4 linked regions of the Schizosaccharomyces pombe genome follow. Changing the gene in region 4 together with the main gene of any one other region gives a genetic interaction. Each region holds a gene or a part of one and is shown on either strand. Other genes may lie near its edges. The genes, in order: msa1, mkt1, SPOM_SPAC17C9.11C and ndk1.

Region 1 (10,308 bases), 2.1 Mb from region 4:
AGGAACCACAAATTTAGTAGCGTAGTCATTATCAATAACGGCATCTAATTTTAAATAGAAAAAAAAATTGAGCTTTTGAAGACCTTTTCTATCCTCTTCAAAGTAAGAGAAATGAACCCATTTTGAGTGAAAATTTGCATACGCTATGTATAGGATTGACCCCAAGATAAGCGCAGATGAAAAAAGTCCTAGCATTGGCAGACATGAATTAGAGCATCGAGTAAACTATATTTCCAACCAAAAATATAAGACTTTCTTTCAAGAAAACCGACATTTCGTAAGACCAAAAGGCCAACGAAACGCAAAATCAAAATTATCACAAAGGAGGATTTTCTAAACTATGCACTAGAGAATATCCTACTGCCTCTCGACAAGATCAAATCTCAAACACCTTTAGGCTTGCACTTACATGAAAAAGGGTATTACAATGCACCGATATTGGCTAAGGAAAGAATAATTGCTGGGATGGGGGACTATTTATTCGGTAAACCTGAGTACCATTAGCATGAACGGAGGGGAGGGTGCGACGTCAGTGCCCCATGATTCTGTCCATTCAACAACTAGCCAAAACCGAGGAGAGGAACAACCTTAGCATATAGACTCGCTTCTGATGTCGGTGAATACGAAATACAAAACCACTTAAAATTCAGTAAAGTGAAGAAGGTTTGTGGAGAATGACTTGGGCAACAAAGCCGAAATCCACCAAACAGTAAGAAAAAATTGTAATGAAGAAAGAAAGCCTTATTTATCACATATTTACTAATGAACTTTAGCCTACAACTTACAAACCCGTTGAAAAGTCAAATCTCACTTTTATGATTGGGACAGGCAACCTTGCATGGAAACCCGGTTCATCGTCGCAGGAAAAAATAATATTTTATTATTTAGATGTACTTTGATCAAAAATAAATTAAGGAGTAAGAAAATTTGAAAAGAGGCGTATCCGATGTTTCCATAATTGTTGAATGATACAAATTAGACTACATAGATTGATATTATATCCTTTCAACAATGAGAGAAACGAGATGGGTATGAATAAGTATTGATTTCCTACCAACAAACAATTTGTACATTTTATGCTTTGAAAACGTACTGATCTACATTACCATAGTGTCTTGTATTGTTGGCCTTGCAAGTGAAGTGCTATTTACTGTTACTATCAATAAACGCATCTTTGGTTCTTGGTTACCATACTTTGTGCTACAAATTTTATCTCTCATAAGTTTTTTTTCTTTTTTTTTTTTTTTTTTGAAATTTTAAATAGATAACAAGCCGAATTTCGAGAATTTGCTTGTCTTGATCAGGTAAAAAAGGGTAGTTGCTCCGATCGATCGAGCTAATGATATCAGTAAAGATCAAAATTTAGGAGAACTTCCGCGGTAGCGGATTTCTCAGTCAAACATAGTACTACAATAGATACAGAAAAGAATTGCTTAGCTATGCAAATATTTACTCAATGAACGTTGACTGAAGTAGCTTCATCTCTTGCATGTGCGTTACGGCAATGCATATGCATGTATCGGGAGTGAATAAATGAATAGAGATGTTGACAAGCGACAAGAAAATAATTTTTATAGGTAAGAAAGTTTTTGATAACTTTTTCTAACTGCTCAACCATTGCTATTGACGAAGTTTAGATGGATGTTTTTTTCTTAGGATTGCTAGTGGTAATCGCTATTTTCACTAACGCTAAGCGTTACAGCTCGTTTCGCTTTTTATTCCCATCCAAAAACTTGGACCCCAATGAGACAAAGTGGGGGTGGAATATTAGAATTGCGACTTTTAGATCGTTACTGAATACCATTCCAAGTATCCCACATTGGAGAACCATGTGGGGAACCGTTCGAGTTGGTATTGTACATACCCCGTCGGCCAAGGTAAGAGAGCGTGTAGACTGTAGTTACTACTTTTTGGCTAGAGGATTCAAAACTCAAAAATAGCTCTTAAAAATAAATATAGAAATGAATTAATTCAAAAACATATAATTTTTCTTCGGGATTCCTTTTTTTTACAACAACAGTCATTTCAAGTGCTTTGACTTGACAGACGCAACATAAATAAATAAATAGAACACTTTGATGCAAAGTATCGAATTCCAACATATCTCTCTAGACTGCTTTTCTATTAAAACCATGACTACTAGTGTTTCCATATAAAAATATAAAGAGATCCATCAACAACTAATACGTACATATTAGATTTTGCATTCCCAAATTGCTTCGTTATTTCACATACACCCATTTATTTAAAACGAGTTAAGAGTAACATCATTTGAAATCAACTGAAACATTTATATAAGCTGATTTTTCACAATCTTGCTATTTCACTAGTGTGGAACCTGGAGCTGCTTCATAGTTTTATACAATAGCATAACAAAACTCCAATAATCTCATTTATACTCTGACTCACCAAGTCGATGATGTGTATCTATTTAGGTTAAATTGATCAATTATATAATTGTTTCTCATATATTCCCTTACTTATCGTATTTATTATTTATTTATTTATTTTTATTTTTTGGAATATATACCGTCTAATTAATAATAACATGATTCTATCCACTACGTTATAAATAATGTTGGCTAAAAAAGTTTCTTTACGTAAAAAAAAAAAACAAAGTCAAATTGCTTTGCATACATGTGTCCAAAATTTACGATTATTGAGAATGATAGATAAAATCATAAATAAAAGTTTTGAAAGTGATGGAAGTTGCAATTTTCTTTCTTTATTGAAAACTTGTGCATCCATTTGTATTAGTAAACCAGCTTGGATTGTTAGGTAACTGTTACCCCAAGGGCATCTGGTCTATACGACTTGAGTGGTGCAAATATCCAAGTTGTACCTCATGTCTTCCAATCCGCTATAGCGAAGACGATGTTTGGTCGGAACGATTCTCTCCATTCATCGATTTTCTTCAGCTTCTTCTAGCAACGCTATATATATTCGTGCTCTCCGCCATCTGCCTCTTAAACACTCGTATATCGTTTATCCTTTCATTGACGGTATTCCTTTGCAGATATCGTAAACGAGTTTTCATAAAATTTAATCCTTTTTTGTTTATCTCTTACTTCCTTTGCCCATTTCCATCTCTTCACATAAATAAGTACGATGCCTCGTAGACGTTCTGCCGCACCTCCTCCTCGCCGTGCAGCTCCTGCCAGAAGTGCTTCCACTGCTGCTGCTTTACCTCCTAGGACAATGGCACCTCCTCCTGCTCCTAGTCGTGTGCAACAGGCTCCTCCTCCCACCGCCGTCCAAGGAGGCAGCTCACCTGGATTCTTCGGCAATCTGGTTAGTACAGCGGCTGGTGTTGGTATTGGAAGTGCTATCGGACACACGGTTGGCAGCGTCATAACAGGCGGTTTTTCTGGAAGTGGTTCCAACAATGCTCCAGCTGATACTAGTGTACCTCAATCTAGTTACAGCAACAGTGTTCCAGAAGCCGCTTATGGTTCAGCACCTCCATCCACCTTTGCCAGCAGTGCTATTTCTGAAGAGGCGAAGAATGCTTGCAAGGGCGATGCTAAAATGTTTGCAGATTGTATAAATGAGCATGAGTTCAGTCAATGTTCTTACTATTTGGAACAGCTAAAGGCTTGTCAGGCCATGTGGTCCAACCAACAATAAGAGGCAATGAACTAATTTATTTATTTTTCTATTAAATAAAAGTTATGCCCAGTTTGTTTGCATCAGCATCAGCATCGAAATTTTTTTTTTCATGTTTCTACTAACGAGAACGTTGAACCCTAATAGCATTTGTTAAGCAGTAAATAATAACTGGTTTCCCTGGTATAAGACATAGTATAAGAACGAGAAGAAATAAATCATATATGGTATTTTTTTTGTTTGGTTTAGTAATGAAGTTCTTTTTTTTTAAAATGGCCCAGTAATAAAAAAGTTCACGAAGAACGTAGTTAGAAAGCTTGATAAATAAATTAAATGAAATCTATGCTCTTTAGAAAGTTCTATGATCTGGCTTGGAGAAGAGTAGTACATAACAGTATGGTAATGTAGTTAGAGCTTCTCTTAACATGCGTACGTTTTCATACCTCTTAATAGTAGGGATGGTTCAGTTCATACAGCTACCTAGTTCACCCCATCAATCAATCAATCAATCGATACAGTCACTCTTCAAAGCATTTTGAGAGTTCTCCCACAGATTTTATGCTAGCTGGAGTTCCGACTTGTTTATTAAAGTAGGAAGGTTGGAAGCGAACCATATCTAACAAACTTTTTTCAAAACGAAAATTAAAAGCAAATTAAACTTTCATTGTCTTACGTCCCATGTTAGGGGGGGGAAGCAGCTAAACAATGATGATTTATAGATGGTTGCCTCGGCTATTATTTACTTTGTTTCATATCTGAAAGAAGAGTAAGGGATAGGATACGCCAAAGATCCACCATAAAACGGTTTATCAACAAAAGGATCATCATCGAATTTGGTTTATGAGTCTTTCAAATGTACTCGTGTTTGTTAGTTTAACATACTATTGCATCCACTAGAGATAGTTAAGAGAAGCTGATTTACAAATGATCGGTTTCGACATGTCTGCCAAGTTATACTTTTAACGTATTACCAAGAAAAAAAAATTTACGGGACGGGGATTCCATTCTTGCTGCTTTGGTTTATACTGTAAGCATAACAGCAATCTTAAATTGAATCGTCTTTGCCAAGCGCATTTGTAAGAGTATTGTATGCTATGCCACGCAGTGCATTTTCATATCCAACGCTACATACAATTTGTTGTTACTCTTTCTGTAGACCATTTCGGAACGTTGATTGAAGATCGGAAAATTTAATGTTTCGTCCAGAAATTGTCTGCATATGTAGTATCACAGAGAGTGTCAAGTCATATCTGACAGCATCAGGTTAATGAGCTTAATTTGGGCCAAAGGCGAGCTAGAAAAGAAGAAGAAAAAAAGAAAAAGTAAACAGTAAAGAAAAACATATAACGACTCTTATTCATCCTTCCTCAGCATTCCCTTTTTCATATTTTTATCCCATTCTAATCCTAGTCTAAGAAATGCTGGCGATATAGACCGAGTCTACTGGTGTCTGGAAAGGAACATAGCTATATCTATATATAGATATAGATATAGATATGTATGTATGCTTGTATTTCGTTGGCAGTTTTCTAGTTTAACTAGCAAAATACAAGAATTAAAATTAGTATTAGTATTATTATTATTATTTTTAAACATTTAAACATCGACTAATTTTTTCAACATCTGTTTTCACTTTCAAGTATCGACTACTTTCTACATTCCAACGATCCATTCTTTATTATAGATTCACCCTTTTCCTCGATAAATAAGCACCATTACACATACTTAAAATTTTTGTTTCAAAGGGAAGCTAAACTGTACGACGATGTTTATCGTTATACTCAGCTGTCACTTATCCAGAACTCACTCCATCAGAGTGCGTGCATTTAGCTTGCTCCCTGCACATCCCACTACAAAGTGTTAGAGATAGGCAATCGGAGTTAGAATACCGAGACTTTATTCCAAGGTAAAAACACATCTAGAAATGGGGACAAACAAAGAAACAAAAGGTCATGTGAATGTTAGATTCAAGGGGTAGAGTTCGATATCTCAGCAAGCGATTCCTTTTTTTTTTTTTTTTTTTTTTTTTGAGAAAACCTCGGTACACGCTAAGCTGGCTTTTCCTATTGTTACTCCTTTTACTACTAGTATTATACTATTGCTTTGCTTTGTTGAATAAACAGTCTATAGAACGCTCAAGAAAATACGACGAAAATAGTTTATTCATAGCTTGACAAACTAACTACCTTTGTTTTGTTTTGTTTTTTTCTTTTCTTTTTTTTTTCGTTTCTTAGCTTGGCTATAGCTTGCGTATTCTGTCTTTGTCAGTCATTAATCCAGACAGTAATATAACATATTCACCTTGTTCTTTTAAAGGTCTCCCTTTTTTTCTTTGTTGCTCATCTAGATTGTGCTTAATTTTTTTTTTGTATACTAATCAAAATTCAATTTATTTTTCTTTAGTTATTTATTTGTTTTTTTTTTCGCTTTATTGGATCCTATTGTAAAAAATCATCTTTTTCATTGTGCTTGCAATTTACCTTTCTTTGACGATTACGCCTTTGTTCACGACTTTTAGCATTCTTCCTTTTTCTATCTCCATGGGGCCGTTGTTAACTTACTCCTAAAATTTGTAGTTGCTTATCTTCACAACCAAAGGATGCTTCGGTGCAGCACCCAATTTTTAGCCCATTACCCTGTGCCCAATTCTCAATGTCTCATCATTTGTCAATACTAGCTTGTTCCTTATACTCCCTGTAACCCACTATCTAAGACATTGTGGAGAGGGAAATGTTGGCAGTAGTGATATACTTCCGAATGGACAATTGCCTATCAATCGTGGTAAAGGAGAATGGCTAGAATTTAGTAAAATGATATGGCCCAAATAGAACGGTAAAATTACTAAAAGATTGAGGATTTGAGGCAGCGTCTTGGTCGTTTGACTAATTATTAGAGTGTAAGCAGGATTCGGATGTATTGCTCCTTTAGTTAATCATATCGTCTGGTTTTGCTCCCTAATGTCCCTTGTCCTCTTTTATGCCGCCTACATTACCGATGAAGAACACGTGTTGAAATCCCCGAGTTTGCAAGTAGTCTTGATATACAATGTCTTTTCCTCGTATATTCCGAGCAGATCTAAACCTTCGTCGTGAATAACCCCCTTCTTTGCTTTCACCTAAATCAATTGCTATTCGAGGGTTTTCGATTCTCTCCTTTCTCCATTAACATACTAAATTCAATTTCTCTTTGTGTGGGTTGCTTCCTTTTTGCTGAGACGTCTCCCCGTCTTCCATCCTGTCTTTATCAGTTTTGTTGCATTTCTGATCACCCATTTTTTCTTTTTTTCCTTTTCTTTTGTTATCTATCGAATACCTCCACATTGCTTGAAATACTAGTGAGACTGCGTTTACCTTCTCTTCTCATCTGATTCTGTCTGTGCCATTGAGCTTTCCTTCGCTCTCCTCTTGCACCTTTTGTTGCGTTTACTGGCTTCTTTATTTTTATTTGTTTTCTTTTTCACCTCAAACTTTCTCTGTGTTCAGCTTTTCGAGATATTCAACTGCAATTGTACTGCTCTTTGATTCTTTCACCTTTTTCAATTCGAACTTGCTACTCCCTCAAGCTTATCCAATTATTTTTTAGCTTCCACTTGAGAAGAGTTCTCTCTATCCATCACCCAAAAACTGAAATTTCATCTTTGTGAAATTTCTTTCACGGTCTGATCACCGTGCAAGCTATTTCTATTCCCCATTTTACTTTTCTCATCATCTGACTCTTATTCTGGAAATACTCGTTTCCCCCACTCAAATATATATTTATTCTTTGGGCTTTCCTTAGACTATTGTTAGACTGCAAAGTCTCGTTTGGTTTACCTACTGTCTATCTCTGGTTTTGGTTTTTCATTTTCCATTTCTGTTTCAGCTGGTTTCTCAAAATCTTCATCCTTTCTTTCTTTCTTTCTTTTGACTCGTCATTTTTAAGAGCCATTCCATTTCTTTCTTATTTATACGTGTATAATCTCTATTTTATCTTTGCATTTTTGCACTAAATTACCATACGCTTGCGTTTTTTTCTTTCCCTATTTCTGCAATTTTATTACCTGAGTAAAAGTTTTCCCATTCGTTTTTTCCTATCCCTTCTTTGATCAATTTTATTTATCTTTTCTTTTGACCAAATTTTTTCTCTGGGGTTTTTTTTAAACTTTGTTTTGAAGGAAATTTTAAATTAATTAACTTTTAACTTTTTCAGTTGAAATACTTTTCATTCTTTTTTCTACGCAGCTTTTGGATTGCTGTTGACACATCATCTCATAACTATCTATTGTATTCCATATAATCGACTGATACGACCTCCATCCCACTTTGGCGCAGGCATCTCGTATAAAGTTTTGTCTTTTTAATTTGATATCAATCCGGCATCCTTGTTTCATGCCCCTTTATAGATCCTTTCTCATTCCAAACTTTTTTTTTAAACACATTATTTAAAAATGGTTGTTTCCTCTCCGTCTGTATCTTTATTGCATTCTCCTGTCGAAAAATTATCAGCCCAACTCGAAAAAACAACGCTTTTACAAGACATTCCCCCAGGTTCTTTATCCGAAAATGATAATTCCACTACCTTTATAAAGCCTCCTTTGGAAACTGCATCATCAAGCACCCCTATCCCAAGTTCCTCTTCCAGTGGAGTATTAAATCCGTCGTCTGTCCGTGGAAAACCAGTTGCCTGTTTATTTGTTGCTAGCTTAAACTCTTCAAGGTCTGAGGAAGAGCTGACTGCCACTGTTAAAGATTACTTTCAACAGTGGGGTCCTTTGTTGCATGTCAAAGTTTTGAAAGATTGGTTGCAAAGGCCTTATTCTTTTGTTCAATTTCAAAATACTGATGATGCATCGAAAGCACTTTCTGAAGCCCAAAACACGATATTGGATGGCCGTCATATACGTATAGAGCGCGCCAAAGTTAATAGGACAATCCGTATATCCTCTGCACCCCATCAACCTTACATTACAAAAAAAGACATAGATAACTTATTGGAACCTTATGGCGAGGTTGAAGATGTCACGGAAATACCAGATCAATCCGCTTTCTTAGTACGGTTTGTTTACAGGGATGAAGCAATCGCAGCCTATACCGCGCTTAAGCATTCTGCCTGGCCTGTACTTTGGGCGGAAAATGTGACATATCAAAACGGTCACTATAAGAAGAAAGGTTCCTCCCCGTTTTCTCCACCTAACGCACATAGTCGAAGGCGAAAGTCGCAAGGCAAAGATCAGTCGAACACTCCTGTTATCAAAGCACCTGCCCCTATTCCATTCTCAGTTTCTTCCGATCCTCCTTCTACCATGGGAAGATCAAATTCCGCGGTTCAAAGTCCCTCATACTTTGCTCACTCATTGGTCAATTCTACTGAATTCAGTACTCCTAATGAATCTTTAAGCTCCTTACCGAGTATATTACCTTCAATACCCTCTTTAGAAAGCGGCAAGGCCGAACTCCCAACAGATGGTTCTTTTGAACAGCCTGGATATCCCATGAACCCCTCTATGATGTTTGCTGCAATGCCTCCACCGATTGATCCTTATTCTATATTCGTTGGCCAACTCGACCCAGTAAATTGCACACACTACTTACTAGTTGATCTATTTTCCAAATATGGAAAGGTAATCGATTGTAAAATAATTCATCAAAGCAAGAAGCCTGCTTTTGCTTTTCTAAGGTTTGATTCTCAACAAGCCGCTTATGCTGCCGTCTGCGGTAAGACGAGGTCCCCACACCAGAAAAAGCCTTTGCGTGTTGAATTTCGTCAACTAAGACCAATGCAGCAATTTTCCCCTCAATATCAATATCCCTCCTATCCATATCCGATGTTTCCAGCGCCATTTTCACCACCTCGTAATGCAATGATGCCAATCCCTGCACCCATGGATCAGTTTTCAACATTTCACCAGTCAATGGCTACCCTTCCTCCTGGTGCCGTTCCCACATCAATTCCTCAGTCGTACTATCCCATTTATTCTCCAGAAATGGCTATGCCTCAATCGTACAGTCCGATGTATTATACGCATAACCCACCTATGGATGGGAATTAGATTTATTTTGAATTTCCCTTCATTATCTGATTGAGGTTTCACTTCTTTATACAGTCCTTAAGTGTCGGAGTTTTTTTTATTAGGTACATATTCTATAAAACACTAATAATTATCTAATTTATTTTACTTAAAAGATGCAAATTGGCTGCAATTATATTTAAAAGATTTAGAGTCATAAATGTTATTATGTTCATATATATGTCTTCTATATAATTTTACGAATTAGTGTAACTCGTAACAGTTCTCTACTTTACGCATTAACGATATAATGATATTAGATAGAAGTTTATTTATATATGCTCCCAAATATAGATGTTCTCACACATGTATCGTATACACTCTAACCATTTGATTATTTTCACTACATAAATTTTTACAAAAATACTATATAAAGTCAATTCATTTTATGAAATTTTTAATTTGAGGCTGTAATATTACGTGAACTTTTTATTTTGGCTTACTGGCGAACTGAAAAAAGAAAATTAGTTTTTTTTTTAACAGACCTCTATTTCATAGCTTTAGACTTTCTCAAAACACTAGTTTCATATAAATATTCCTTATAGACACTAAATACAAAAAAAGGTTCGTGAGGTAAAGAACCAGAAAAAGAAAAAAATTATAAAGACAGGACAAGCATAAGTTTACAAGGGACTATTATATACGGGGTATACGTT
Region 2 (9,021 bases), 770 kb from region 4:
TCTGTGAAGGCCCATGCATAGCGCTACGTGAAGAATCAAGCCGACTAAGGAAGGTGGAGCGCGAATGCGGTCAGAATCAAAGACAACCTAAATTGAGTTAGTTAAACCCATTTCAATATCACAAACCTGACAAAGAACAAGAGCTTGCAAAGCATTAAGATCTGGTTCAAACAGAAAATTAGACGAAGCCAGTGCGTAGCGAAAAGCTTGATGATAATCTACCTGAAGATATCTCTCGTCTTCACCAAGCGCCCATGTCTTTTGCACTTCAACAGGTGTAGCTAGTAATGCACTAGCATAGATTGCGTATAATAAACTAGTAAAAGCTGGTTTTCGCAAGTGCGGTTTTTCCCAAAAATCATTATATCGTACATAAAAAGTTGGTCTGTGTAAAACATTAATGAGCATATGACACCGAAAAAAGAACTGCTCAATTAAAATATCCGATACTTTTTTGGGGGGTAAATAGTCGTATGCAGATTCATTGGGGGATATTCGAAAAAAAAACGGACTAATCAGAGAATCGTTTTCTTCTTGAATATCTTGATCTAAGTTAAGATAATGATAATTCCTTAAATGCCAGAGTACGTGTGAAGAGGACGAGTAGTTAGCATATTGTGATTTTGTATCATCTAATACTGAAAGAGAACCAATGTTTCGCTGTGTCTCAGCATCTGCCGAAGGCGTGGAAGGAAGATTATGAGATTGTTGGTTTTCATAATCAGATTGCGATTTAGTGCCGACCTCATTTAAACGTTTTTCCAGCATGCTAACTCGGGATAGTAACTGATCTATCAATTCGTCAGCTTCGCTACCCCGTTCAAAGCGCTTGTCATAATTAGTTTTCCCAGGATCTATATAAATACATGACTGGATTGTTGATCGCTTTAAGCAATTGGAACAAGGTCTTCCATGATCACATTTAAGTTTTTTTCTTCGACAAGCCAAACACGAATGGATCGCCCTACGTGATGTCTGCCCTGATTTTTTAGAACCAGACTTGGTTGTTTCACTCATATGCTCTTCTTAAACATCAAGTTATATAATATTGTGAAAGATAAAGTACAATTGAATGCTAGATTCTTCTAATTCTTGAATCAATAGACGTCAAAAAAATGATACTTGCGACCAATTGACAGGAGCGAAAAGAAGTTAATTCCGTAATATATAAAAAAGTAGTCTTGGCTTTAAATAGGCAAGAATTATATCTTTAAATCTTATTGCTATACTGATTTTGAACCAAAGACACTTGTGTTTGGATGTTGGCGAAAAGTAAATTCGTAACACCAAACACAAGGCACACTGGACAACTTTTATAAATATCCACTAATTTCAATAGTAAGCAATCTCAACAGCAGACAGCTTTCGGATAACATGCGTTAGATACGTAAAGCACTCAAATAGAAACATATAATTTACACAGGGATTTAATGCATTTACTAACAAATTACCATTCTTAAATATGACTGATTTCTATTTCAAAATTCAATTGCCTGCCTTGCGACAAACTATCCATCAAATTTAGTACTTGCATTTTTTTCATTGATCACAATTTATACCCCGTATGTATAAAATCTTACTAAAAGGCATCTTAATTGTCTGAGTAAGAACTTTGGTTAAGGGTAGACGGTTGAGAGCATGCACTTATTTGAATCACTTTATGGCATTTTCTTTATAATAGTACAACATTGCAGAAGTGAATGACATCTAAAGCTACTGCTACTATGATTTTGCATTTGTCTTACTTTAACATTATCTACCATGCGTTTCCAACGAATCCTATTTTAAAGTGTAAAGTCAGTTAAATGTTAACTGTGTGTACCTTCCTTCCTTCGAACGATCGCATTTATTGTTGACAAACATTACTCAAACTTTCAAATGACTTTTATTCAAAAAATTTTAAAATTCTACCAAATATTTGTAGGACAGAGAAAGAAAAAAAAAATATATATGATTGTAGGTAAATCCTTAATTTAAAGAGGTTAAGTGCGTTCTAGTATCTGTATTTTCAAATAGTAAACATAAGTAACATGTGACCTGTTTAATTTAGCATTAAAATGGAAAAAGTATAGAGCAATTAGGGTGCCTTGTAAATAAAAAAATTGCAATTCAATCTATAATTTTTTTATTAGTATCATTTTGCTTATTTTTTGAGTCCGTACGAAAGTTACGTTTTGCCTTCCCAAATTGCCGCAATGGTAAATTTTCCGCGCACAATTTAATCAAGGCTATTATCACTGAAAAAATCTCAACTGCAAGAATTCTTTTTCCTTCGGCCAACACTTGCTACGCAAATTGAATTGCCATTTGAGGCAGATTTTTTTGTTTAAATTCGAAGAAAAAATCCCAATATTAAGTCATGTCTGAGAAACAAACTATCAAAGCCCTTCCTGCACACAATCCTACTCAGGTGAAAAAACTTGGTCCCGTTAGTGGATTTTTGTCAGGTGGTCTTGCAGCTTGTGGTGCTGTAACACTGACAAATCCTTTCGAAGTTATTAAAACGCGTTTTCAACTTCAAGGTCAATTGACAAAATTGGATCCTTCTAAGCGAATTTACAAAAGCGTCGGTCAGGCATTTTCTCTAATCGCTAGACATGAAGGTATAAGAGGTCTTCAACGAGGCCTTGGTACTGCTTATGTTTATCAAATCTGCCTCAATGGCTGTCGTCTCGGGTTTTACGAACCGATTCGACGTACTCTGAATACGTGGTTCCTTGATGATCCCAAGGGTAATAAATTAGCTATTAACGTTGCAAGTGGCGCCGGTTCAGGTTTATGTGGTGCCTTGTTTGGCTCTCCCTTTTTCTTGGTTAAGACTCGCATGCAGTCGTATTCTCCTAAATTTCCCGTTGGCCAGCAGTATGGTTACAAGCATATATTTAATGCATTCAGTCGTATTATTAAGGAAAATGGTGTTAAGGGTTTGTTTGTTGGTGCTGATGCTGCCATTCTCCGTACTGTCTCTGGTTCCTCTGTTCAGCTTCCTATCTATAATTGGGCTAAACGCATGATTGAGCATTACAATCTATTGGAAGAGGGTATGATCAAACACTTAACTGCTAGTGCTGTTTCTGGATTTGGTGTATGCTGCACCATGCAAATTTTCGATACTGTTATGACTCGTATGTACAACCAAAAGAACAAGGAGCTTTATAAAAATCCGATTGATTGCATCCTTAAAACAATCCGCTCTGAAGGATTCTTTGCCTTATATAAGGGTTTTGGTGCTCACTTGGCCAGAATCGCTCCTCACACAATTTTCTGTCTTACCTTCGTGGAGCAAACCAATAAACTCTTTTTGAAATTCCAAAAGGATTAAGTTGTTTTTTCAAACGCACGTTTCTTTATTTATAAATAATTTTGGTACTAAACCATAAAAACCCCCAGTGGCTTTGGTGTATATCAAGTGAACAGTTAAATTGTAAAGAAATGATGTTTGTATCTAAGAACGATTTTTATTTACATTCGTTGTCTCGTTACTTATTTCCACTCTACTTTCATTTAAAAGTCGATTTTTCTTTTCAAGCTGTTTTTGATCAATCGGCATGTTTTTGTCTTTTGTAATATATATCCGTCAGTTATCTCAATATATGTACGTATTTGTTTTTGGATTTCAGGCATCTGGCTGCGTTTGTATATCAACTTACCTTTTATTTAGTTATTAATATACTTATTTTCTCTATAATTAAAGATTGGAAACATTACCGCTTTGTGTAGTCACAATGGATAAATTTCTTCATTTTGCGTCGTTTTTATTTGAAATCTTTACATTTCGCCAACAGTTATATGTTTTTTAGATAAATCATGTTAGTTTAATAAAATATTTTCTGAACTTCTTATCGTAGTATTCGTGTTCACTAATTTGCTCGTTCCTGCTGACTCTAATAAACGGATCGGACACCTCTATTCAGTACAACATAATAAAATCTGAATATATCCGTTACATATAAAAATAATCTGTTTGTTTTTAAGGATCTATTAAAGGTTTAGTAAAAAAAAACCGCCTTACGGTTTAAACTGCTGTTTGGTAAATTCAGTTAAAAAAAAGAAAAAAAATGACAAGTAAGTTAAAATACCTTGCTACTCATCTGCTAATTTTTTAGTTCGTTCATTGAATTTGTTTATCATAGACAAAAAGCATCAACATAAATCTAGCTTGAGCAGTTTTCAAAACTGTAAGTTGGGTATTGACGCAAGTTTTTACTTGACTCAAATTATTCATTCCTTTACCCCACAGGAACTTCAAAGTTTGGCAGTAAATGGTGAATCCGAATATCTACAACACAGAATTTCGGAATTCCTTGAGCAGTTGAGAACTGAGAATATCACACCCATTTTTGTTTTCAATGGTATACCTCTTACCTTTGAAGCCAGCAGCCAGCTGGAAGTGCCGGGAAAGCAAAAAAGTCATAGTGCATTGACAGATTTCGAAGCTTTTGATCCTTATGATGCAAATATTCAGCGTAATATGTACCGCATGGACGCAAGTGGTCCTGCGAATTACGGCGAAAGTAAACCAACACTTTTGTACACCAATCAGCGAGATCATTTAGATCGTCTTTGCGACCAGGTAAAGTTTTACTTAGATCAATGTAATGTGGAGTATTTTGTCGCCCCGTATCTGGCTATGGCTCAATTAGCATATTTTCTAAACGGCACATCTTCACCTTACATCGATGCCATCTATGGTTCCACGGATCTGCTTCTTTTTGGTGTTAAAAAATTTATTACTTCTATGAACACATCTTCTAACGTTAAAATCTCATCTGACCCTTCATCCCCATCAACTCAAACAACTATCAATTCGGCCGCTAAAAGTTCATTCACATGGTTAGATGGAAATGCCCTTCTTCAAGACACGAACGGCCTTTCATGGCAGCAGTTCATCGATTCCTGTTTATTGTGTGGTACTGCTATTTCTCCTACATTTCCTCAGATTGAGGGTACTTTTCTAATTAAAAGCGCAATGGAGCTTGTTCGTATGTTTGGTTCTGCGTATCGTGCAGTCCTTCATTTTGCTGAAATCTTTCCCCAGCCCATTTTTCAAGATTATCTTCAACAGTACAAAAGGGCTGTTTGTTTCTCTAAGTTTGGAATTGTGATGGATACAAAAGGTCTCACTTTACCACCAGTTCCCACAGAATCTGTTCCTAACGACATAAATATATATTTTGGCACCCGTCTTCCCAACGAGATTTATTTTTACATTTCTCGCGGTCTTATTCCTTGCAAAATGATAGGTGCTTTAGTATCTGGATGTTTTAGTGATCCTGTTTCCATACTTGAACAACATATTGGTGACAAAGCATCACAAGGAACATTTTCTGGTGCTAATTCTGGTTTAAATCCTGGTCGCGACAATGCAGCAGCTGTAGCGGCTGTGGATCAACGGCGATTTGTTGACGATTTAGAAGAAATATGGTCGCAGGGGCTAAATTTATTGACCCAACCGCTTAACAGATTTTACCAAGCCAGAGATATTGTTTCCCTTCATGGCCATAATCAGCAAGCTTCTTTGAAGGTAATGCACAGCTATGATCCTCCTTTGTATAATGATACGAGAGCATGGATGATATACGAAGAAAACTTACCGAGTTATTTATCTAGTAATTTTTTAAAGGAAGAACCCGTTGTATTATTTGATCTACTACGTGCTTTGAACGATCCGGTATTTGTAAAGAAAAGCTTTTGCACTGAAGGTAATATTGGCATAAAAAACCCTCCCAAGCATCCTCTGTCTTCTACTGCGGAAATCGTCTTAAGTTCTTGCTACAGATTTTTGCAAATTAGATCTTTCGTTTTAACATCTCATCAATTAACATCTTGGGGATGCCCCTTGTTAAAAGCGTTGGAAAATTGTCACTTACAGAACCAAACTTCCGTTGTTGTTTTATTCGAGCTTCTTAGACTAAGACAATTAAAAGAGCCCTCTTTACTTTCCTCCTCAAGTGCAAGCATCGCCGATTTATCCATAACTTCTGCCACAGAGTTCTTGGCAAAGGTTGCAACATTTCTACCAATAAAACAGAGACCTGAAGTTAGTAAAATTTCTATAGTTGATGAGAATTTATTACAGTTTTATCAGCTACAAACTAGCTTCGGATCCAACTTGAAGGAACTCATGGCCATGATTCTTGCCTCGGTCATCTTGAACAGAAACGTCGACAAAAGCAAAATAGATCCTAAACTTATCCGAAAAACGTACGTGTTTTTTTCTCTTTCTCCTTTTTTGTTTATATTTAAAGTTTCTAACCAATTTAGCTTACCTTTTCAAAACATAAATGGTAGCCTTGTCTCAGGTTTTGTTGTCAAGCGCTTTTTTGAAATCATTTCAAAAGAGCAAGAAGCCAGTTCTCAACAGGAAAACATCCAGAAGGCTTATGAAATAATAGAAAAGGAATTCCCAACCATTGGATCTGCGGAAAACCATATTGCCCAGTTTTTGGAATTCTGGAAAACTTTTATGGAAGGGGTTAAGGAAGCAGAAAATACAAGTGCCATTGGCAAGCTCGTTTTAAGTAAACTCTTCCTTACTAACCAATGGATATTTTCTCTTGGCTTATGAAGACCAGAACTAGTAGTTTATGAATAGAAATAAATTAGTGAGAGAAGTATCCTTCTTTTAGCGGGAGCTTTTAACACATTCGGCACAGTCATAATGCACATTTACATGAATTACTTTCCCTCATACTGTCGAAGCATTTTCAACATGCTATACACTCATGTGATTACACTTGATTATTGTTGAGATATTATTTCGAACAAGTAAAGTATTGTTAATATTAATATTCAACTACATTGTTTCTTCCCGAAAAAAGGAAGGGAAAGAAAAATAGAGAAGCACAGCTTTGAATGAAAACCCAATGATGTTTAAACTTTTTTATAGATATAGTTTAATTTGTTCTAAAGGATACTATATTTATTTTTAGCAATACACTTACCTGTCAAAAAATAACTTATACCGTTGTTTTTACACTATAGTATGGGAATAATTTTTAACTTATTTGATAAGTTCAAGCGGATTTTTTAGATTTTAGTTTATGTGTACTGGCTCACTCACAAAAAACCGAATTCGCATCAGAAACATAATTTTACCTAATCAATTTCACGAATTAAAAACCTTGTGCTTACAGAAAGACTTGCTTAGTTTAACCACTTACAAGCTGGATAGTATAATTTTGTTTTAAGATATTTACTGTATAGATGCTGTTTACGACAACTTGCTAGCTTTGAGAATCTCCAATTCTCACACTAACATCTAATAATATTTGTCGATAGTTAACAAAATTCTGACAATGTCAGTTTTTAAATATAAACGGTAGTAGTTGAAGTAACTGACAGTTAATCAAAATCTCTGTAACTTATTGTTTACATTGCATATTGCGAGACTTGACACACTATTTAGAAAGTCTTAAGCAAGCGTAAGCCATTACTGTGGAGTTCATTAAGCTTAACTTTAATGAACTGCTATTAGTGTAGTCTCATTTTGTAAGGCGTAGCACAATGTCCCGTGTGGTTCAGCAAGCTACCATCAAATAATAGTTTGATTTTCCATTTGGTGTGAATCTAGCAACAACCAACATTATTTGTTCAGATGCACTTATGAAGTCTAGTGGTATCGCAGGCGATTCCAATGGATTTGAAACAAATTTTCTAAATGAAACGACTAATCGAGAAGAAGATGGTGCATTTAATTGGAACGCTGCAGATGATGGCACTAACGAACGAAGAGAGGATATTCATGTACGATTTCAGGATAGCGCTCTTCCATTAGGAATTGATGAAAATGAGCTTGATGAAATTGATATAAATGGGGACAGCAAAAAATTGGATTCTGTTGAAGTTGACGAATCACACGATGTTAATTCGCCATCAGATAGCAGACTGAAATCATCTTTCAAGTCGGTATTAGAACTGACAGCTAATTCTATGGTTTCAGTGTTAACTCCATCTACCAAAACTGAGCAGACCTCGAAAGGAAAGGGAAAAAAGAAGAAAGCACATGTTTCCTTCCTAGAGGGACCTGTGGAAGAAATCCCATTAGATGATATTGAGCCTACTTCTCCTCGTGAGGCATCACCTGTGTTCAATGGGCGTCCTCCAATTCCTCCGGAATTTTTAAAGTCGCGGCATAAAGAGTTTACAATACCAAATCCTTTGCAGTTCATTTCCAATTTCTTATCCAACTTGTTTTCGCGTGATACACGGTATTTGAAGTCGAGTCATGGTCGAATAATTATCATAAACCCTTACGATGACTCCTCCCAAATTGATGAGCGTACAGGAAAGCCCTATATGCAAAACAGCATTGTTTCGTCTCGGTACAACAAATACAATTTTGTCCCTTTACAGATCATTGCTCAATTTTCAAAAACTGCCAACTGTTATTTTTTGCTGATTGCTATTATGCAAATGATTCCAGGTTGGTCAACCACCGGTACTTACACTACAATCATCCCTCTACTTATATTTATTTCAATTGCAATCCTTCGTGAAGGGTTTGATAATTATCGGCGATATCGCCAAGACCGCGTAGAAAATAGAATTCAAACTCAAGTTCTTCGTCACGTTGATGTAGATCCGCCTATTGTTGAAGAGCACTCATCTTTTTTTCGTCGTCGGCGGTGGAGAAGAAGTAGATCTCAAGAATCTGCTTCAAGGAGTACTATTCGATCAACTGATGAAAGAGAACCTGAAAGAACCTCAGAAGATCCACCTCAACTTCCTCCCTCTCCCTCTTCCCCCTCTTCTCCGGCGTTAAGTGTCAAACCTAACATTGACCCGCAACCCCCCTTGTATAACTCTACTTTAACTACTACTCGCTCCATACCTGCAAATAAGCCTACTTTTTTTTGGGCTAGCTGTGATCGGAAAGATGTTCGAGTTGGTGATATTATTCGACTGACAAGTGATCAAACTCTTCCAGCAGACGTAATAGCTTTGTCGAGTCCCAATCCTAATGGCGCTATTTACATCGAAACAGCTGCACTTGATGGTGAAACATCCTTGAAAACTAGA
Region 3 (6,693 bases), 4.2 Mb from region 4:
AGTATTTTAATAGTTCTCATACCTTTTCATTGGGATCGAATGTGGAACCAGGCTCCGGGATACATTTATCAAAACAGTTCTCATTGATTTTCTAGATAAACCGATTAGTTAAAACATTCAATAAAACATAAAAAATGAATGGAGCATACACTTATCAATTCGCCAGCTTGAGCAACAGCAAGTTCCTGACGAATTTGTTTCATGAAAATGGATTTTTTGTCTTCAGAAGAAGGTGCATTTCCACTATTTCCACCGAAAATGCCCATTTTGTTTAAGTATAACGTTAAAACTTATGAATGTGGATAATTTTTACTCCTTTACAAGGAAAATTAATGAGGAAATGGTACGTTCGTGGAAAGTACCAAACGGTGTACTTAGGGAGACTAATTCAGAAACCGGCCATCATCACCAATTAGACTTCGTTAATAGAAAATGGATTTTCTAATATGCTGACATATGCGATACAACCAGACAGCAATCTTTGTTTTGTTTTCTACTTGGTATAAAAAAAAAAGATTTAATAAAATATTTCTAAACTAATGGATAGATATACTATTCGGGTCCTTTTGGTGAGTTTAGAAATAAAAGTTTTTTCAGCGTTTTTTTATTATTATTATTTTTAATATTTTAATATACGAAATGAATCGTTCATGACTTTTCATTACCCTTGTTTAGAAAAAAAAATAAAAATCCCAATTTGTAAGAAATTTTTATAGAGTTTTATAGTCTCGAAATTAAATCATGGAATTAGCACATCTTTTACTGCAAATAATCTGAGAATCAAACAAGTCACGTAAACATTTCAATGTTTAATACTGCTAGCGATATTATGGTGTATTAAATTTTATAACAAAAACGAGTTAGCTTGACATTGATAAAATTAATGCGACTGTTATTTACATTGAGAATTATATTGTTAAGTGAAATAGGATTATTCGAAGGAAAATCTATTTCGCTTACTATTCCTTTATATTTCTTTAGAATGATACCTTTGGATTGACTATCAATTGTATCTGTAAATCCACGGACACTTTCTTAATTCTGCGAAACTGCATGGGCGGCAAATTTTTCTTATCTTGAAATCTCTATATAGCCTTGCCCGAGGTAAATAAATAACAGGACGGCTGGGAGGTTGATCTTATCCAGAGCCAAACTCACCACCAAATCTCTTCTGTTTCTTTACAGTGGGAGAAATATTGTTTACCATTGTTATTATTATTATTATAGATATTCCTTTTAGTGTTTATTTTTTAAAACAAAAAAAAATACTTGTAACGAATTTTCATTAAGTATCATCTCTTGGATCGCTAAAATAAATCAGCGAATATTATAGTGCTGAAGCATTACACGTTCGAGGAAGTTGACAAATTTTAATAATTGCTTATCATTCCTATTAAATTAATAGTTTGATTTCCCTTTCAGGTTGCTTCGCTTTTGTAGCCCTTTGTTTCCCGTTCTTTTTATTTATTGTCCTCCACACTCATATAAAAAACTTTGACCATAAAAAGCTTAGACAAGCTCTTCTCAAATTCATTTTAAAATTATCTGTTCGCAAGCATTTTTGTCCCATGTCTGTGATAGCTCCTTCTTTTGATATGGCTAACATACTCACGGAGTTGTCTTCATTTTTAGGAGCATTATCCCTGGGATGTTGGGTCGTTTTACTGATCCCTCAATTACTTGAAAATTATAAAAACCAGTCTGGTGAAAGTATCTCTGATTTATTTTTAATCATCTGGCTTATTGGCGATTTCTTCAATGTACTTGGTTCCATTTACGGAAATGTCTCTTCTACTGTATTGGTTCTCTCATTTTATTACATTGTCTCTGACAGTACCCTACTTATGCAAATTTACTACTATCGTTGGAAAGCTGCCCGTCGTATTGCCAGTCGTGAACACGAACCCTTACTCCAAAGTCGTTCATTAGAAGAAGGTCTTCATGCACCCATTGGTAAACAACAAATTTGGTGGGATCGCCTTTCTACCCGTCAACAATTTGGTGTAATGGGATGTGTGGTTATTGTCTCGACAATCGTTGGAAACTTAATTATTTCTAGTGCCTCTTCTGACAAGAGTGATGATGACTTGAATGCATGGCCGTTTACTGCCGGTTGTATCAGTTCTGTGTTATACTTCTGTGCTCGTATTCCTCAAATCATCAAGAATCACAAAGCAAAGTCTACCGAAGGATTATCCATTATCTTTTTTGTGTTGGCCTCTGTAGGAAACACTTCATACGCTTTCAGCATTCTCGTATTTCCCGCCTCCGATTACTTAAACTACACATATGCTAACCTGCCTTGGATACTTGGCGCGTTCAGCACCATCTTCCTTGATATATATATCTTCTACCAGTTTATCAAGTATCGTAATCATTATTAACACAGCATAATTATCAAAAGGTCATAACTTTACCATTGCGGAATAAGAACGGCTGAGGGAAACAAATCTATGCAAGCGTTAATAATATATTCCATGTCTATAGTTCAAAGTTTTCAGAGGAAACAAAGATATGTCGTTTAGATGCTAGTAGCAACACAATATTCTTTCAAAAACATGTATTCTAATGTCACACATGATGACAGTAAACACTAGTTTGATACTTACCAAGTTGGTTAACCGGTTTATCAAATACATCAGTGCCGTATGAGGCACGGGGAAAGGTAGTGGTAAACTTAGTTGGCGGTGACACGTTCATTTTCTCAGCGACCTGTTGTGCCAATTGGCGTAGCGTCTCCTCAGCTGCAATAGTTATATTACAAACTTGACCATCGTGTCGGATAGAAAATCTGCCTGATGTAGGAGGGGTGCGAGTACAAGTAGAAGACGAATTGGCATTTTTAGGCTGCTTGATGGGAGCAGCCGTTTCTTTTACAGAAGAATTCTTATTTTCCCGTTCTGCAGCTCGTCGTTTTTTATCGCGTTCAATTTCTGCGAGGATTTTCTTACGCTGCTCAGCATCTTCAGCCTTTTGTTGACGGATCTTTTGCAAGTCACGTAAGCGGGCTTGATCCTGCATCTTTCTCATAGCCTGTGCAGTTTCATCATTGGATTTTTGAAGGATTTTATAATTTGTCTTCTTCTCTTCCAGAGCCAAAATCCTTTCTTTTTCCTTTTTCTCCTTTGCTTTCTCTCTTAAAGCTTCAATAGCTTGTTTTAACTCTTCGGGAGAACGCTTCTTAATCTATGTTTTATAATCGTTGTTAATAAAAAGAAAGGATCGAGTGAAACAAATTATTGTTTTCGTGAATTATAATAATAAGGATGGTTAACAATTCGAACGCTTCAACCATTCAGCAAAAAGTAAAAGGAGTAAAATCTATACATACCTCTTCTTCAGTTTCCTCAAATTGATCATGACTGGTTTTGGTACTATGAAATTCAGCCATTTCGATGGAGGAAAGCAATTTATCGCATTCCAAACATTTCAAAACCATTTTTGTGTAGAGTTTGTAGTTGCAAAAGGCAAATTACAATGACGCTCAAAAATAGCCCTACGTTCCATCGACTCAACATCTAACGTGCTAATATCTACAATATCGTATTACCAAACATCGCAGTTGAGAGCATTATAAATTTGTTGGTCATTGAAATAGAAATGACAGGTCAAATGAAACAAAATAATTGTAGTTACCACCGATTACGCTATGAATTAGAAGAATAAATGATTGTATATATTGCACGACATCCGCAGACCGATGATTGAAAATGATTACTGACTTTCGTGATCCTGTAGTTGGCATCCACTCGAGTAATTCGTTTCCTTTATACATGGTATGCTTTCTAAAGCATCGCTGATATTCCTTGAAATAAAAATGTTGATTTTTCCCTAGCATAATGACCATTAACGAAAGTATACAATATCTATTTAATGATTGTCTAAACCAAAAAACGTATTTCCTTTGAATAGAAAGTGTAAACGAATGCGCAATTTTTTTTTGAAATCATAATGTTTACTTCATCCTTGCATTCTTAAGTTGTAATTAAGACAATTCAAACGCATTAACATGACATTTAGAAATTAAAAAGGATAACTTGAATCATCCTTTTTGGGTATTTATATCATTTATTAATTTCACAAACAATAAATCCATATACTTATTGGGATTTTATAACCATACTGCATTCGTACATTATTCACCTACTGCAAAATATTTTTTAGCATATATTACTTTTTACTTTCAAAATATCACATTTATTTTAATAATATCGTTATAAGGCTTTGTATAATATCGATGAAAACAGTTACTTGAATAATTATCTCCTTTTATTTCAGTATCCATATATTACCATAATCTTTGCTCAGCCTCGGAAAATCACACACAAGTATGTGTGACGTAAAGCCACGATTTTTGGCTACACTGCGAAATGGTACTTCGCAGAGTAAAGTAGTACCACCTCTCGCAACAAACTCGCCTTTCCCGTAAATCATGGCTCTTGAATGTGATAGTACAATTGTGTTTCCTCGACCACTTACACGACTAGTAAAATGTGATTTAGAACTTCGCAATACTGCACCTTATCCGATCGGATTCAAAGTGAAAACTACTGCTCCTAAACAGTACTGTGTGAGACCCAACGGTGGTCGAATTGAAGCCAATTCGGCTGTAAGTGTTGAAGGTAAGATAATTTATATTTAATTTTGAACCTCATTTGCATTTTTTGATTTTATTCGTTTAAGCGGTTCCCATCATTGATGTTGTCGGGTGGAACAAAAACGTTGTCATCAACGTGATTTTCTTTTGCAAACTAACAGTTTTTATTGTTTTTGTGCGTGCACTGGAAGATAATTTGTGCTCATTAGTTATTGCTGTAAATTTTCATTTACTAACTTCTTTTTTTTTAATAGTTATCCTACAGCCTCTAGATCACGAACCGGCTCCTGGCACAAAATGCCGCGATAAATTTTTGGTCCAGAGCACTGAATTGAAGCCAGAATTACAGGGAATGGATATAGCAGATATTGTATGTGATAAAAGATATACTTACATTTACTTTTTTAATACATGCCATACATAATTGATGTTCTAACCAATACTTTAATAGTGGACTCAAGTCAGCAAGGCTAATATATCGGAACGAAAAATTCGATGTGTTTATAGTGAAGGCCCCAGTACTGCAAATGCTCATGCTAATGCTCACCATCAACCAGCTCAAACAACGACTACATCTATTCCTACTTCTGCCACTGACAATTATACCACAGTAAATGGTAATGTTAATCAATCTTACTCTAAAGGAATAGACGGAACGGCACTTCCTTCGACCCATGCAAATCCCGTAGCTGCTCCATCTACAGCTACTACACAGCATACCCAGCTTCCTAAAACATCTGCAGTTTCTCACCAGAAGCCCCATGAAGCCCCATCTACTGCCGTAAAAGCTCCTACTGCAACAGTCGCTGAAAATGAACCTTACCCAAAGCCTCAGTCAGTGCCTACTACCACTTCTCCTAACAATGAAAATAATGCATTAAGATCTACCGCTAATGTAATTAATAACACAAGACAATCAACAGCTACGAGTCCATCTATGTTCGCTGGAAACAGTGGAAATCAAATAGGACTTGCACGCGTTTCATCGTCTTTTGGGCGTCCGACTAGTGGTGCCAAGGTTGTTCCTCAAATTCATAACACAGTTACTGTGCAAACCGCTTTCCTATTAGCCATTATATGTTTCCTTATAGGCCTTCTGTTCTAGTTTTTAAATATATTGATGCATACTGTGCCAACCCATTCCATTGTCATTCCCAATGTTCATACTATTAGTATGACGATGAAAATTGTTTTGTGGATTTGTTTGTTGAAAAGTATGACTTCTTTCATGTACAAGTGGCTCATTTTTTTGTAATTGCTTAAGGTAATTTAATGCCTCTTCCATTCTGTTTTGTGATGTTTTATTGTGCTCTTCCAACTCTTCCAAAGGTAGTAAAGGGACTACAGGCCGATCCTCAAGTTGTCTTAAAACAACAAGCCACGCGCCCGTTAATTCATAGTACGCTTGACTTTTATAAACATTATGGTTGGGATTATGGAATTCTGGCAGTTCGTGGACAACGTTTGTAGCGGCATCAAGAAAAGTAATATTTTTCTCAAAACAAGTAGAGTATGGAGGTAAATAACAAGGAACCATATCATTAAGCGCATGTAAGACAGCCATGTACTTTTCACGAATTCTATTAAATGCGTAATCACCCCTCTTGTCACCACCATAGGGAAATGAGTCATTCAAGTTAATTAAAAGTTTACGCAACGTTTCAACACAAGTATCCATGGACGGCGCCGGTAATATGCCCCGTATATCACGTGCGAGATCAGGATGCTTTTCTACACATTGTAATAAAATTGTAAAAAGCTGTTGTTTGTCTGAATATTGTAGCAGTCTCGACAATGGCAGTTGCTCACCCACAGGTAGTTGACGAGCACGCTTAGAAATGTCTTCGTCAAAATCAGCTTTGCGTTTCTTAATCTGAGAATAAGATAAGGTCTCCATGAATTAAGGAAATGAACAGTAACAACAAATAAAGATACCAACTTCAAACGTGAAATCGTCTGATTAATTATAACAAAGAAAATGAAAATTACAAAGAAATGGATATTCCAAAAGAAAGAGGAAAAAATTTCAAAAGTAGTAACAATAAAACAAAGATAGAGGATACTTTGTTAATGAGCTTCCTTTTTTAAAAGCCGGA
Region 4 (6,552 bases):
GAAAATTCTATATTCAACGGCGTTTTTGAAACGCTTAATAATGATGTTGATGATGAATCTGTAATAGGGGAAAAAGAGAAACTTATTTTAAAGCAAAAGCAGAAATGTTTATCTGAATTTTTTGTTGATGACATAAAGAAGCTCTTAAATGAAGAGCTGCTCAATTGTCAAAAGCAAGAGCTACCAGATGTCATGGAAAATACATATCAAATTTCGACCGTTTCAGGAATTAAAAATGATCCGTTATTTACGTTGGACCAAACCTGTAATATAATAGCGAAACTAGCGGACAATCTCATACATCCTTCTGTTCCCATTGGTAGTTCTGCCTATCGATGTAGACGAAATTTGGCTGACTTATTATTCCTTATAATGCCATGATTACGATAAAATGCCATAATATTTACCATTACGTGTATAGAATCAATAGATTTCATAAAAGTAACCTTTTGGATGAGTAAAACCATACTGACTTACATGCGATTTCTCTAGTTTCATGTCGTTTACTAACGAATGATATTTGAAAAAGACCTATATCTATTAAAAAAAATGATAGTGTGCTTTAATGAAGGTAGAAAATCATTAGTCATATTTATTTGCTTTGGGTGTTGCTGATAGTTTGCATCACCCATAACAAACACGAGTCCTTTTGAAGAGGCTCTTTAACTTCTTCTTATTCATTCGTAAATCCAAGGTTCAATTGTACGATCGTAAACTTGGATTTCCGAAGGCTGGAACCAAAGTTTAATTTCACGATTAGCGCTTTCTATGGAATCAGAACCATGGCAAACGTTTCTACCAAGGTCGATACCATAATCACCGCGAATAGTGCCAGGGGCAGAATCCAGAGGGTTACTGGCGCCCAACATTAAGCGACCAGTTTTCACGGCTTGTTTACCTTCCCATATCATGGCACATACAGGGCCTGATGCCATGAAACCAACGAGTTTCTCATAAAAAGGCTTTCCTTTATGTTCGGCATAATGTTCTTCCACAAGATCACGACTAGGAACTAAAAATTTTAGAGCACGTAGTTTGTAGCCCTTCAACTCAAATTTTGAGATGATGTATCCAATCAGTCCTCGCTGAACTGCGTCCGGTTTCACAGCGATAAAAGTTTGTTCTGTCGACATATCAAAAATGCTTATACTCGGTGATATGAGGTGGTTGAGTAGATGGGAGCTGTCCCGTCTACTATCCCATATAAAGGATTACGGAGCAAGGACAAATAACACTCACAATATGATTGCATAAACAAAGCGGAAACAGATGTAAATAATAAAAAATGATAAGAATCGTTATAGTACACCTTCTTATATTTTTAGAGCACCAAGCCTCAGATATCTTAATGGTCGTAAATTATTGTTTACAAAAAATGCATATTTACAAACACATTACAAAGCATTCAAAGCGTACCCGTAGACGGTAAGCCAGTTTTGTTTTTTTACATACGTAAAAACTCTCCACAAATCAAAAGATTGTAAGGCTTATTGTATACTATATAATGGATTTGTTATTATCCCAATCGCCAACTTCTTACTGTTTTAGGACCATGTAACGAATGAAACCACTAATAAAAGTTAGAAGAACTTGTAATTGATACCAACTTAGTATTGGGATACCTGCAAAATTTGATTATCAACCAGTTGATAATAGATACAATTCCAAGTACATCTACATCACTTCATGCAAACGGTTTTTTCCGTACATATATTAGTTATCCCTATACATATAATTGTTAACATTGTCTTGATATACGAATAAGGCTTTTATGATTATTCCTAGAGTTTTATCCTTGTTTGCGAATTTATGTATATTCGTAATGGCATATACTCGAAAATCCGGGATTTAGATAAGCTTAAATCATTATATGTCTATCTAATGAGCATGACAGCCGTCTCACAATTTTACTCATAAACGGACGAGGGATAAGTTGTTTTTCTTAACAATTCAGTTGTAGTATCATCACTTTTTATTTACATTCTTTTCGAGCGCTGTTTATCTGCACATTAAGTCACCATTGTACGCATAACCATTATACCACCAAAAACGCAAAAAATATCAGTTTAAGCTGTAGGTTGTTAAAAAGAACCGTTTTCCTTTCAAAAAGGTTTACCTTTAATATTTATTATTGATATTAGTGACAAGAGGCACTGAATATCAGTTTTGAGCCAACTTTGAGGACATAAAAGTGCTTAGATCGGGAAACGTTTCTTTTGCGATTCGTCGTCAAATTTCCTCTTTTCTTTTCTTTTTTATTTCAATTCTTTTTATAGGTTATCCTTCATTCTTTTTCTACAACTGTTATTCGAGAGTTGCACTAAGAAATCACAAGTAATTCCAACCAAATTTAGACGCTGGTTATACATTATCGTTTTTCCATACCTAAAGGGTAATTTTAATTTTTTTCCTTCGTTTCCCATATCCTACTTTGCTATTCATTTTTCTTTAGAATTTAGTATCCTCTTTCTCCCGCAGCCTTTAAATTTTTGATCCTATTTGTTCGCTTGTTGTCTGTCATTATTTGGAAAAAGAGGGTTTTCTTATTATACGCGGTTTTGATCGATTTTTGTATTATTATTACCGATTCTGTTTCTTTATTGACCCGATTGTGATTGTCTACCATTCCTCGTCATAATTCCTTTTTAATATGCACACCATGAATGGGGATAATTTTGCAAATTCATTTCCGAAGAATCCCCTGTTGTCTCGTAATTCTTCGTCCAGTAACGTTATTCAATATTCAGACGAATTTAGTCCAGATGAAGACTGGTTGAATGAACATGCTGCCAAAGAGCACGAAGAGCGTATTCGTAGGCCCAGCGTCAATCGTGCATGGCAAAAGAACTCTACCTCTGGAGGCCCCAGCGTGAGTTTAGAGAAGCGTGAAGCTGACGTTGCTAGTTTAGGAGAGGTGATGGATCTTGAAGAAGTACCGCGTGGAATCACTAGACAAGCCCGACAACTAAATGAGTATATATTTCCAAAACATCGCTTTCGGAATCATTTAGTTGATGAAGGAAAAATCCCTTTGGTATTAGTCGCTTGCGGTTCTTTCTCTCCTATTACCTATCTACACTTGCGAATGTTTGAAATGGCTACAGATACTATTCAGGAGCAGACTAATATGGAATTAGTTGCTGGTTACTTTTCTCCGGTTAATGACCACTACAAAAAAGAAGGCCTTGCACCAGCTTATCATCGTGTACGTATGTGCGAATTGGCATGCGAACGTACGTCTAGTTGGCTTATGGTGGATGCATGGGAAAGTCTACAACCTAGTTATACTTGTACAGCACGAGTACTGGATCATTTTGATGAAGAAATAAATCAGAAACGAGGTGGTATAACATTATCGGATGGTACTAAACGACCTTGTAAAATTATGTTATTGGCAGGAGGTGATTTGATTGCGAGCATGGGTGAACCTGGAGTGTGGTCCGACAAAGATCTTCATCATATTTTGGGTAAATTTGGTTGCTGCATCGTAGAACGTACAGGAAGTGACGTCTGGGCTTTCTTATTAGCTCACGATATTATGTTTGCATATCGTGGAAATATCCTCGTCATAAAGCAACTTATTTATAACGATATCTCATCTACCAAGGTTCGGTTGTTTATTCGTCGTGGCATGTCAATTCGATATTTATTACCCAATTCCGTTATCCAGTACATAGAAAGATACGCCCTTTATCGTGACGCTGAACCTGTGAAAACTATTTTTTATCAGTCGCCGTTTGTGCGTATGGAACCATAAATCTTATGAGACACTTTTCTTGGTCTGCCATAAGTAATTTTGTGTAATCCAGTGTTTATTTTCTGTTCTTCTATTATACATTAGTTGAATGGCTTGTTTCACGATTTCTGTGCTCTGTAGTTTTATTTTCTTATACCTGACAAGAATTCGGATTCTAATAAAGCCAATGGAACATTATTTTCTAATAGAAATGTTTTATAAATATAAATTATATATTGTTCCAACCCTTTGAAGACACCATTCATAGGTGTCATACGCTGATAAGAAGTATGGCCTTTCCTTAGCCGTCGAATAATGTGCAAGGCGTTGACCAGCTTTACGACGAAACATTTGAATATGCAACCGATTTTTTAGTATTAAGTGTTCTACAGATTTCCTGCTCGCGGCCATTTCCAAAAATATAACTGTATTTTCAACTTTTTCCTTTGAATAAAAGGAGCAATTGTTTTGGCGAAATCCGTTACGAAGCAAATCCCGGATTACAAATCGATGGCCAGGAAATCTAGTTGAAATAGCCGCGGCCATACCTGCTCTCCAAAGTTGTCGAAATGCTGATGCATGTTCTTTCTTCATTCCTAAATTAAACCTTTTATTTATTCTTCGATTGAAGGAGGCTTTAATTATGATAGCAGCGTGAAATAGAATAGACAAGGCAAGTTGGTAAGAGCGATAGAAGGACGCGGTTAATTAATCCTTAGAAAAAAGATTAACTTCTGAAGGTACTGACGTTTATGCGCGTCTTTTTTGGTGATTCATAATCTCTATATTTTTTTTTTGAAAACAAAATGCTCGTAAAAAAAATTGAGAGTGTTTGTCTTCCACGATGTATTAGTAGTTGCAACAGGAAGTTGGAAAAACTACGTAGTTTGGGTGGTCAGTACTGTAAACAACAGTAACCTGGGTTACTGTTTTGTTACTACTGACCTTGGAATGTCAGTGCTTGGAGTATTAAGAGGTAAAAATCTTTACACCTCAAAACTGAGCCTATTAATGAAACGATCAAGTGTTTATATAAAAAATTTACTTTCTATATGTTTTGTCTTATCATTTTCTTAGTACCAGCATTTTAATAGAATACTTTTGTTTTGCTAGTAGTAATTTTTTTAAACGTCATAAACACTAACTATTTCGAATGTGCAAATGGTCGATGTTTAATAGTATTTTTGCTCTAAAAATCTTCAAAATGTATTTTAAAAAATAGTATCGTATGTGATGATAGACTAAAAGAATTTTAGATACCTTCGACATATTGCAAGTGCGCAAATCAATTATAAAATCATTTTTAATAATTTTATTTATTATTTTACAGTTTTTACTTTATGCGTTTACGTGTTTTTACGATTTATTGATATTGACATCACACTCATCACTTGTAATTTTTTTGAATTTTCTTCAGACTTTTACAATTGATTATTTATCGTTAACTTTTAAATCCATAGCTTATCATTTGCATTAGTTTATAAAAGAATTTTCTCAGATTAGCATTGTTTGGTTTTTTATTTTTTTAGCACTGAACTGAATGGAATCGGTGTAACAGAAGGAACTTTTCAATTATACTATTTTGTTGATTTTACATTACTATTATCTTCAAACATTTAACTCGATGCCGCCATTCTGTTAGTACGCTAAATTTAGGATCAACAATCAATCAATAAATAAAATATTTATGTACTTAGCTGTGAGATAACATACATGTTTAATCTTTGAAGTAAAATACATTTTTTTATAACGCAGCTTCCGACGACAACGCAGGTACCTGCTACGCAATCCGTGATATAACTCGATACTACTATGTAGTAAAAGTTCTGAGTAACCCCCCAAGACAGTACTGAGCAGTTTCAGTATAGTCAGTCATATATCAAAAAGGGAGAAACCTACTTCAATTCGTTTTTTATGTAGACATCGAGTGATCGTCTGCTAAAGCTAAGTACAGAATAAGCCCAAATTAAACTACTCTACAAACGTTTGATGAAATCGATGGTAGCGTCGTAATCATGGTTGACAAAATTTCAGAGGGAAGTCGGCTTAAAAGTTGTACTAGTCAATGCATTTAATAATTCTTAGTACATTCAATAATAAATATATATTCGTTTGAAGATTTCATCTATGTTCATCCGTCGTAGAATTTGTATACTATATATATATTGACTCGAACAAATCCCAATCTTACCGTAAAACTAATGTCAGATTTAAATTAGAAGTAGTAGTAATAGTTTTCTCCGAGATCTTATTCTTACTTATATTTTATAATATTATGTCACCATCGGCAAGCGATCTCAGCATTGGCGCTTGCATCCTTCAATATATTAAGTAGTTCACTTAACACCACGGTGATTGTTTGTATCTCTTTTGAATCGTCCAAATGAAGTTTCTAAATCCACCGTTCCGTATGTAAAAATTAATTAGTTTATCTTTATTAGGGAATAAAGATTTCTTGCTAAATTATTATTGTTTTGAGATTCCTCATATTAATGCTTTGTTAACCTAGCGTATTCTATGACTAGTGATCCTGAATCATTTGGTCACGAATGCTTTACTCGTCGATGGGGTATTATTTTAACTGGCATTGAAAAAGATGTATCTGAACGCCTATCCAAATTGGCTTCGACTTCTAAGGATTCTGAGGTGGTTGCACAAGGGAAGCCTCTTCTTAACGACTTGGAAGCGTTCAAGTCAGATATCAAAAATGATCGTCCTTTAGTCCCCCTTGAAGGTGAAGGTCAAGACATTGTTGAGTACAATGAAGAGTTAAAACAGCTTGACAATGCGAGCTGGGGAAACGCTCCTTGGTTATA

The links.
Region 1: mutations in ndk1 (region 4) and msa1 together harm fitness less than expected from each alone (positive genetic interaction), as found in Schizosaccharomyces pombe (one large-scale study listed by BioGRID).
Region 2: mutations in ndk1 (region 4) and mkt1 together harm fitness more than expected from each alone (negative genetic interaction), as found in Schizosaccharomyces pombe (one large-scale study listed by BioGRID).
Region 3: mutations in ndk1 (region 4) and SPOM_SPAC17C9.11C together harm fitness less than expected from each alone (positive genetic interaction), as found in Schizosaccharomyces pombe (one large-scale study listed by BioGRID).

The regions. Positions count from the first base shown.
Region 1 is NC_003424.3:2,317,964-2,328,271, reverse strand, and holds msa1 (RNA-binding protein Msa1), read left to right. Parts: upstream 1-5,446; 5' UTR 5,447-8,032; coding exon 8,033-9,634; 3' UTR 9,635-9,780; downstream 9,781-10,308. Other genes in the region: citrate synthase Cit1, read right to left, coding at 410-411; SPOM_SPAC6C3.03C (uncharacterized protein), read left to right, coding at 1,638-1,940; mix17 (CHCH domain-containing protein), read left to right, coding at 3,109-3,627. UniProt on the Schizosaccharomyces pombe protein: Negative regulator of sexual differentiation. Acts by repressing the transcription of meiosis-inducing, ste11-regulated genes.
Region 2 is NC_003424.3:1,013,913-1,022,933, reverse strand, and holds mkt1 (post-transcriptional RNA stability regulator Mkt1), read left to right. Parts: upstream 1-3,880; 5' UTR 3,881-4,058; coding exon 4,059-4,065; exon of another isoform or gene 4,066-4,106; coding exon 4,107-6,204; intron 6,205-6,264; coding exon 6,265-6,568; 3' UTR 6,569-6,831; downstream 6,832-9,021. Other genes in the region: protein toe2, read right to left, coding at 1-87, 127-1,017; oac1 (anion transporter), read left to right, coding at 2,360-3,322; dnf1 (P-type ATPase), read left to right, coding at 7,606-9,021.
Region 3 is NC_003424.3:4,477,651-4,484,343, reverse strand, and holds SPOM_SPAC17C9.11C (zf-C2H2 type zinc finger protein/UBA domain protein), read right to left. Parts: upstream 3,463-6,693; 5' UTR 3,440-3,462; coding exon 3,332-3,439; intron 3,187-3,331; coding exon 2,610-3,186; intron 2,553-2,609; exon of another isoform or gene 2,452-2,552; coding exon 2,414-2,451; 3' UTR 2,385-2,413; downstream 1-2,384. Other genes in the region: TIM22 inner membrane protein import complex subunit Tim13, read right to left, coding at 23-91, 150-266; G-protein-coupled receptor Stm1, read left to right, coding at 1,569-2,384; scs22 (VAMP/synaptobrevin-associated protein family protein), read left to right, coding at 4,433-4,622, 4,852-4,967, 5,049-5,702; nuclear proteasome tethering factor Cut8, read right to left, coding at 5,706-6,494.
Region 4 is NC_003424.3:242,509-249,060, reverse strand, and holds ndk1 (nucleoside diphosphate kinase Ndk1), read right to left. Parts: upstream 1,170-6,552; 5' UTR 1,134-1,169; coding exon 678-1,133; 3' UTR 501-677; downstream 1-500. Other genes in the region: gamma tubulin complex GCP5 subunit Mod21, read left to right, coding at 1-381; SPOM_SPAC806.06C (nicotinamide mononucleotide adenylyltransferase), read left to right, coding at 2,651-3,757; lyr3 (LYR family protein), read right to left, coding at 3,953-4,330; duf8901 (cobalt/nickel-dependent phosphatase), read left to right, coding at 6,120-6,144, 6,246-6,552. UniProt on the Schizosaccharomyces pombe protein: Major role in the synthesis of nucleoside triphosphates other than ATP. The ATP gamma phosphate is transferred to the NDP beta phosphate via a ping-pong mechanism, using a phosphorylated active-site intermediate.